Schizosaccharomyces pombe: one gene and its partner. The gene in region 2 interacts genetically with the main gene of each other region. Each region holds a gene or a part of one and is shown on either strand. Other genes may lie near its edges.

Region 1 (3,455 bases), 620 kb from region 2:
CTTAAAAGACTTTTCCAGGTAAACATCAACAGCAAACTTTGATTTCCCTTTCAGTACACAAGTAAGCGCTAAAAAGCACAAGCACTTTTAGCAATAACATGATTCTCAATTACTTACCTTGAACACGTCCTAAAAATAATTATTATTTCTTGGCGCTGCTTATCCTCTAATGGACGCCATCTTTTTTGAATTTGGTCTCGACGCACCGCGCGAACGCGCCTTTTCATTTCCATTGCATATATTTATAAAAATGGTGCTACCACTTCAATTTTCTTTTAAGCAATCTGGAACTTAAATAGCAAAATATGTACGTATGGTTTTATATGAAAAATTTCTCTATAACAAGAATTCGCCGTTTCAACGTTTGCATGCTGTTGTAGCGCTTCGGACGAAGTTGTTTTACATATATACAGTCAACCAAGCCAATTCTCAATTACTTATTTTATTTCAATAATAAGTTGATAAAAGATTTTAAAAATCATAGTTATAATGTTTTCACAGCTATCCCAGAAATTACTTTAAGTAGTCTGTTTTTAATTAATACTACAATTACAATAAACAGAGCTTTTTAAATCATATACTATTGCTACCATTGAATTAAAAGAGAAAATAAATAAAACGTACCGACAATCGTAAATATGGCATGTGTTGCAAAGCAGTTCAAATGAAGTGCAGTATGTTTTAGAATATAAATCGTTTAGATGTTGAAAAGATAATATAAAATTGAATTCCTAAGGGTTTGAAAAGTCTTTCTCGCTTAATCAGTTAGTTTATTTCATCTAAACAAAAATTGAATGCTAATTAATCGATCACCAATTTGCGAAGCAAAACCAAGATTCATAAATAGTAAATGCTGAAAATTAACAACTATTAATACACCAACGACGGATAAAAATAGCAACATAAACCTAACGCAAATATTGTCATACACGCATCTGTAATCAATTGTGTGAAATACGGAACATAACTTGTTGTATGACGGATCATTGCTCCATAGGGAGGGGGAAGCTGAGAGGCCAGAGATGCTAGAAGAGAATAAGAAGGTCCATTATTACGGTCCAAAACAAATTGAATAGAGAACAAGCAAGCTTCGACAGTAAATGTCCACGGAAGTAATGGCTGAAATAAATATATTAGTATGCAAAAAAACAATTTCAAAAAAGGAAGATGAGGACTTACCAAATGTTTAAAATAACAAACAATCACTACTATAGAAATTGCCAAAAGATGAGCATATTTCTCAACTAAGTTTTTTAAAGGAGCTGTAGCTTGAGGAATTTGTTCGTTTTCACCTTGAAAATTTGTATCAGATCCCTCCTTTGCGGATTGTAACATAGCTTGAAAAAAATTTGCAAAATCAGGGTTTTGATTAAACATGTTTTCAGGTGGTACATTATATGGAGAATCACACTGAAGTTTAAAAGGCGAACTTTCCAAATTATGGTAATCTTGGGAAGGAAGATATTCCACTTGATCAGCATTGAAGGTATCATCTCTCTTTTCCATGAATCCTGAAGACATTGGCGTTACTGGTGTTGCAGTTTCAGAATGTACAGCTTCCTCGGAAGCTGTAGCTCGAACATCGGATTGACTGTCATCTGAATTCTGTCCCAAAATTTGATTGATTCTAGATGCACCTCCTTGTTTGATTTTATTCAGTCGACGTTCACGTCTAAGTCGAGCTTGTTCACTGGCAGTCGACATGTTCGAAGTCTTTGAATCAGCAGAAAACAGAATAAAATAAATAATTAACACCAAACTTTTTTACAGATATATATTTTTATCAATATTATATTGGGAAAAAATCAATAATGCTCACTTGAACAACTTTCCAATATACGAGGGGTTTGGGGTGAGAGAAAATAGTGATGCATAAGTGTTAGAAGAATACTGAATTCCTACAGCTGTTATGTTTGATAAGAATCATACATGTTAGCCTTATATTATAAAAAGGAAAATTTAATTATAAAATTGGTTGAAATTGCCATATCAATTGCATTTTGCTAATTCGTGTTTTTTGGGAAACTACAAAAAACTAAAGAACAGACACATATTTTCATTACAGACTAGCGAAAAATTAAACAAAAAAATTTCCGTTCATTAATTCAGATACAAAAAGGAGTAGTATCACCAGCAACAGCTTTGTGGTAGCACCTTATTCAATAGACATACATGCAAAATCCAGTAGATTATAGGATAGTCCCAGCTAAAGTCTTTCATTTTGCGATACTTTTAACGAAAAAAAATAAAGACATCGAATGATTCACCTAAATACGTTGGCAGAAGGAAAATCCGCTTCAAAATTTGATTTAGAATTGAAATGCAAAAGTCATAACTCAAAATAGTAGTAAAATGGTTACTGAAAATTTATTATTCCCTTTTTATATCCTTCTTGGGAGTCCCGGAGTCTTCGCGAAAGGCTGCGACTATATACAAGGCCAAGATAATATTGACCATTACAGCTGCAGATAATCCTGCGTACAATGTTTGATATCCTAAAACAAAATTTATCAGTAAAAATCAAAATTATTCAACAATTAGTATATACCTTTGAATAAAGTCTTCAACGTCCAAAAATAAGTTATAAGTGGTAATGTAAATAATGCGACACTAAAACCCACAAACTTAAGCAGAACATTACTATTACGAAAGTTAGTAAGTTTTCATTTCCAACATATTTAGTTAAGAATATAAAAGGAATAAACAATATAAGAGACCTAAGATTATAGACTGTTGTGGAAGGTTGTATGGAATTTCTTAAAACCAATTCGCAGTCCGGCGTAAAGAAATAAACTAATAATTAATAAACTTACGTAGGTATAGAGTTATTATTTGTATCTGAAACTTGGGATTTCCTTTCCATTTTAAATCACGAATGCAAGTTGTTGATGGTGGTGGAGACCTAATTTATTGGGACCTTGCTTTATAAGAGGTCAAAGTTTTGTCAACATGAAAAGTAGACAATTGATATTCGTATGTTGAAAGTCCCTGAAATTATTTGTCATCTTATTAAAATTTATTATCTTTGTTTATAACATACGGTAGACTTATACGTGCGACCTGCTTAATTTGTGTTTACATATAATAAAATACCTGGGCGACAAAGTCTCCAAATTCATAGTTCCTTGTTGAAATATTAAATTAATTAAATTAAATCGAGTAACAAATGTATGTTAGGGCTTGGTCGATGATCATAAATAAAACTGCAATTTACAAACTCACATTGAATTGTTTAGCAGGCAAGGGTGTATCAAACAGTGGTGATCAAAAAAGCAATACTCAATTACTCCTCTGTTATAACAAGTGATTTCACACCATCCATCTTCACTTGATACAAGCATTGCTATGTTGACGTTTTCATCAGCGGACGAGCGGTATAAAAAAAAGAGCAAATAGATTACTCAATGGGTATATTTTATGCATTAAAATTTACCATTTTAGCTTGAAATCAAACT
Region 2 (5,453 bases):
AACGGTATTAACAATTCATATGTTTTAATATTTATATTATTTTCGTTGTGTAAAGCTAAAAAGCAAGGCTAATGGCAAATATGCCTATATTGTCCTTACACTGTACTGAATCGGTAACAATTGACAAACACGCTTTTATAACATTTTATCAGTGCTTAATTAAATTCAATACATCAATAATTTATTGTTATTTAATTCACCGCTATTTTTGAATAAAGCCAAACTAATTCAAAGAGTATTAATACGTTACTTGTTTCAACAAAGTTTCTTTGCCTCTTACATACAAAAAAATGCTCCACGCCTGCCTACTCGTCTGAGCTTCTCAAAGCTAACCCAGACGGTGAGGTATGGGTAGTACGCTTAAGCGCCATCCATTTTCAGGGCTAGTTCATTCGGCAGTTGAGTTGTTACACACTCCTTAGCGGGTATCTACTTTTAAAACAAACTGCGTATTCGCTAACTAACATTTGCACAACTTAACTTCAAGACTAAAAAAAACTACAAGCTACAGCAACAACATTAAAATGTAAAGAGCACTTAAAAATTGATCAGTCAATTTAATTTCAATCAGTAAGACTAGAAATAAAATATCAAGTGAAATTTTTGTTTATAGTTGCAAAAGCAAGATACAAAAAAAAAGAACAAGAAAAATGAAAAAATAAAAAATTCCAATAAACCCACACATCAACCCTTTATGCCATATCTAATCAAAAGTATATCCCAAATGTGTATTCAAATGTATAGGTTTTAGCTACAAAAGTAATCTTTCAGTACGAAGCGTAGTCTTCAAAACGATTGAAACTTGCAAGCTGTAATAAAAACATAAACAAAAGCTAGAGTAGAAAATAAAAGAGTTTATAAAAACCAAGGTGAAAAAAAAATCAATAGACTCTTAGTAATGTCTTTCAACAAGAGACCGAAAATTTATTCTCTATTTCTTCCTCCTTCTTGACAATAACCGAGTTGTCCAACGAATCAAAAGAGATTTTTGCATGCTCCAACGAAACATCAGCATCGGTATTCGGCATTTTCGAAACAGAAACAGAGTTGGTAAGCTGAGGTGATTCAAGACCCTTTGAAGAGAGTATCTCGGCCATCGTGACGGATTTTGAGAGTACGGGGAATTCTGATTTTACCTCGTCAGACATTCCATCTTCTCCACCAGGGCCCTTACCACGACGACGTCGGGTAATTTTGTTCTTCTTCAAACCAATAGGACGATTGTGGCCATGAAGACGGGCATACAAACCACAAGCGTTACAAACAGTCTGTCCGTGACGATCTTTGCGCCACAACGAAGTTTTCGTAGAAGAGCAATTGGCACACACCAAATTCTCAAGTGCCTTAGATGAGCCTTTGTTTCTAGGAGACAATGGTCTCATAACACCATACTGTTTGTTGTAAAGACCACAAGCATTGCACAAGAAGTTAAGCTTATCTGATGTACGTCTCCATAAAGGCGTTTCAGTGACTCCACAGTTAAAACAGACATGTTCGCGATGTTTCTTTTGTTTCATTACACGTGCTGCCTTACTAGCCTTTTCAGTTTTAACGGCAGCAAGGGGTGTAGAGCCTTTCATTCCCTCTGCTAACGTCGACTTCAGACTGAGAGAAGAAGAGTTAGAGGACAGATTAGGAGTGGAAAATTGGGGCAACTTAAGTGAAGCATCCATGAGTAATGAACGAGCCTTTTCATCTGTTTCAAAGCTTTCAAACGAAAAGAATGGATCAACGGTAGCGATCGAATCGGACAAGCTAGGAACTGAGCCCAAGAACTCAGATTGGGATAGCAAAGCAGAAGACGAACCAGTCAAGGATGAGCTCGATTCGGAGAGCTTCGAGGGAGACGTGGAATCGTTCAGCTCCCTTTTAACAGGCGACTGAGGTGACATGAAGCCCAGATTGCTTAGCTTGCATCCATAGTTGGTGGGATAAGATATGGAAGCAAACGCACGCTGACAATCACCATCAGAGGCAGGGAAAAGAGGGGCTTGACTTTCATCGAAACCAAACTCGGAATCAAGAGCACCAGGGAATGGTGTATCGATTAATGCCGAGCTTGGCGTTGGGATGCAGGGAGTCTGTACATAAGAGAAAGGGGGTGTGGGTTCTGACGTCTTACTGGAAGACAAGGCAGCAATGTCAATATGAGAGTTCGACAGTATGGTAGACTTTAGCAATCCGGAATCACCGAGTTGCGCAGACTCTAAATCAGAACATTGCCTTTGATTGTCGAAATCCATGCTGTCAAGAAGAGACCAACGAGCAGAGGGGTTGGTTTGCAATTTCTGATTATTCTCCGTAGAGTTAAAAGCCAAGGGATAATCAGAAAGCAGTTGCAACATTGAAACCGAATCAAAATCAACATCTCCCTTGCCTGGCGCATTGGCGAAAAGGGCATCCTTATGAAGATCAATGGGAAGATTTGCGATATCGGATAATGCTGTATCAGCGGGGGAAGTGAAAGTAGGGTCAAATTCGGAAAATTGACCGTCAAACGACCCTTCAGTCATAGCCGAAGTAGGGAAAGAGGGCTGACCAAAGGGGAAACAAAATTCAGTAGTATCGTTGTAATTCATGATAACAAAATAATTGGATTTGCTATAAACACACAGACACAAAGATAATTATAAAAAAAAATAGAAAAACAAGGGAGAGAAACGAAATTATAATACCGAATTCAATCACACGCGAGTAATATGTTAGTCACACACAGACAAAAAGTAATAAATGTTTAATGTTGACTTTGTAAAAAAATAAGAAGCATAATGCACTTTGGGGATAGTTAAAAAAAACAATAGACCCGACCAAACGATGTAGAGATTCTAAAGACTCTAAATGTTACAACCAGAGGAAAAGAAAGATATTTGACCGAAATGAGTAAATAATAAAGGATTATTCCAACGAAATTAACTTGCGAGTTACATCATATTGGAGAATTATAAAAAAGAGATAAAAGGAAGACGATTAAAATAAGAGAGAAAATTATTTAATCAACCACAATAGTAGAAAAGATTAACCGAAAAATACTAAAAAGATATTCGATAAACAAAGAGATAGGAGAAAAATTTTGGTAGAGGGATAGAAAACCTAAAGCAAAATTAAGAAGATAAAAAAAATGAGGTGAAAAACAACCTACGATAAATTCTCAATGAGACAACATTTTGAATGATTTAGGAGAAAAAGACTTAACGACGACACGAGGACGAACGAAGCATGCTTTGTAAACGTAATATTGGGGGTGGAAACAAAAGATCCGAAACAACAAAAACAACCAGTATATTCGATTTCAACAAGGAAGTAAAATCAACTTAAAAAAACGAGGACTTTATAGATAATTTAACACATCTTGGGAAAAATTAAATCTGAAAAGTAACTAGAAAACTGAGGTATGTAAAAAAAAATATGTCAACACTAAATGGAGTAGAAGACAAAAAAATAGAGATTTAAAAGCTTAAAATAAATGTAATAGACGATTTACGAGATCAGGATGTTAACGCTGTACTAGTAAAATTGTGTGGTAGTTGTGGTGTTGTTGGTTGTTAGTAAGTTTGGTGTAGTGGTAAAATAAAAAAGGAAAAGAAAAAAACCGGCGGCGCAACGAGCTCTTAAATAGGAAGAACGTGACAAGAAAGCCACTACGTAGTCAACATTCATGCAGCTATTATGGACAGGTACGGCAACTTTTGATTGGTAGAGAGAGGAGGCATAATAGTAGGGACAGCGCCTTATCAGAGGGCTTATCGAACGATCGGGGTGACATCGGCCCCAAAGCTTATCGCATCTAAGTCGCTTTGTAAGTGGTGGGAAAAACATTAGATAGCCAATCAAAGATTGCAAAGACTTGAAAGCAACACCCAGGCCAGCACGCAATGAACCATCGTTCAAGTGCATTAAAGTATATAGCGAAAGAGAATGGAATGCAGTAAAATCAACCGGCTGTGGAAGTGAGTAGCGCCGATATCGCTATATAGGAAGTGTGGGGGTGTATATATAAAATGGGGGCGAAAGGGTTACTATAGAGACAAATAGACACGAGGTAACTAAGTAAGTAGGTAGGAGAAAAGCGAATTAACAATTTGAACTTGATAATAAAATAGTTGTGTATTTCTCAGTCAATTTAGAATCAATTGAGGAGAAAACTACATGATCATAGAAGGGAAAGAAGGAACACAGCGAAAGAAAGAAGCGTTAAACAATAGGAATGGTTCTTTTTGAACCGATTGTTTATAGAAATAATAAAATGAATGTTATGATGTGAATGTATGAGTGGAATGTGGATGTGAATATGAATATGAATATGAATATAAAAGAAGATGTAATTAAAAAGTAGGATTTGGAATTTTTCACAACAAAAACTCGATTAACTGTAAATGTCGAGTCCTATTGTTGGTTAAAAAGAAAATTACTTAAAAGTCCTTTTGTAATAAATTCTACTCTTAAAAATTAAAACTGTTTATGCCTTATTATTACACATGTGTCCGACATGCCTTGCCTGTCCAAAATGCCTTGTCTACTATACTTTTCTATACTCAGTCTAACGCATTTACTTTCTCTGCCTGCAACCTTTCTGACCCGCTATAACGATAGTGACTGTATTCGTTTAAGCTTAGTTTCCGTGTTCCATCATCAATTGTTAAGCTTATTTCCGCAAATACACTCGCTCTCGCTATTTAAAGAATTTTCGGATTTTTTCGGTCTGCGCAGTAGCGACTATGAAGGCAGCAGAAGTACATTCCTACCGGAGAATGAGTTCCGTTGGTATTACACACGGAAGGCAAGTGACAAGGCTAGTGAAGGATGATCGATTGATCCTATTTCTCGGGTTGTAAAGGCCCCAAAAATAGAGTGTTACAAGAAAGTAATGGGCCTTGCTTTGTGCGTATTTTTGTTATTCAACATGAGTTTGCTATAGCATGAATTTTCTCTGAAATGCGCATACTAAATTGCAAAACTTGTTTGATAAAAGTGCAATACACTTATCATAACGATGTTGATGAGTAAATGAATGTTGCGCATCACTTGACAGTAGCAAAGTGCAATTATTGGTTTGCGCAACGTTGTTTTGTTCATTTCGCCAACTTTGCTTATTCACACCGGTTCTATGTTCAGGCATTTTGTTGGTCGTTGGTTACTAGAGGAAAAACTGTTGTTGTTGATACAAACAGAACCCAATTGTCCTTCAACCCAATCGTTTCTCAATGTTTACATGGTCAAGGTTTGTAGTGGAATAAATGGAATGGGCTGGGATGAAAGGAAATTAGCACGTGGAAGTGTAAACACATGATTTTTCAGCAATCCCGCTAATGTGATAGGCTTGGGTGAGAAGATGAAAGAGAAATAAAAGAAATAATCGTTCATCAATTCGTTCAACAGTTATAAAACAACCCGACCAGATAAAGTATTTGAAAGATTGGAGTCATTCAAGAAAGCGTAAGGATTCGAGATTGGAA

The links. A genetic interaction does not mean that the proteins touch.
Region 1: mutations in fil1 (region 2) and get2 together harm fitness more than expected from each alone (negative genetic interaction), as found in Schizosaccharomyces pombe (one large-scale study listed by BioGRID).

Annotation. Positions count from the first base shown.
Region 1 is NC_003421.2:187,508-190,962, reverse strand, and holds get2 (GET complex subunit Get2), read right to left. Parts: upstream 1,850-3,455; 5' UTR 1,705-1,849; coding exon 1,180-1,704; intron 1,120-1,179; coding exon 871-1,119; 3' UTR 562-870; downstream 1-561. Other genes in the region: kinetochore protein fta7, read right to left, coding at 118-233; vacuolar H+-ATPase assembly protein Vma21, read right to left, coding at 2,371-2,495, 2,549-2,640, 2,814-2,863.
Region 2 is NC_003421.2:809,781-815,233, reverse strand, and holds fil1 (zf-GATA type transcription factor), read right to left. Parts: upstream 3,545-5,453; 5' UTR 2,580-3,544; coding exon 906-2,579; 3' UTR 526-905; downstream 1-525. UniProt on the Schizosaccharomyces pombe protein: Activates genes required for amino acid biosynthesis and acts as a master transcriptional regulator during amino acid starvation. Binds variations of the DNA sequence 5'-GAT[AC]GC-3'.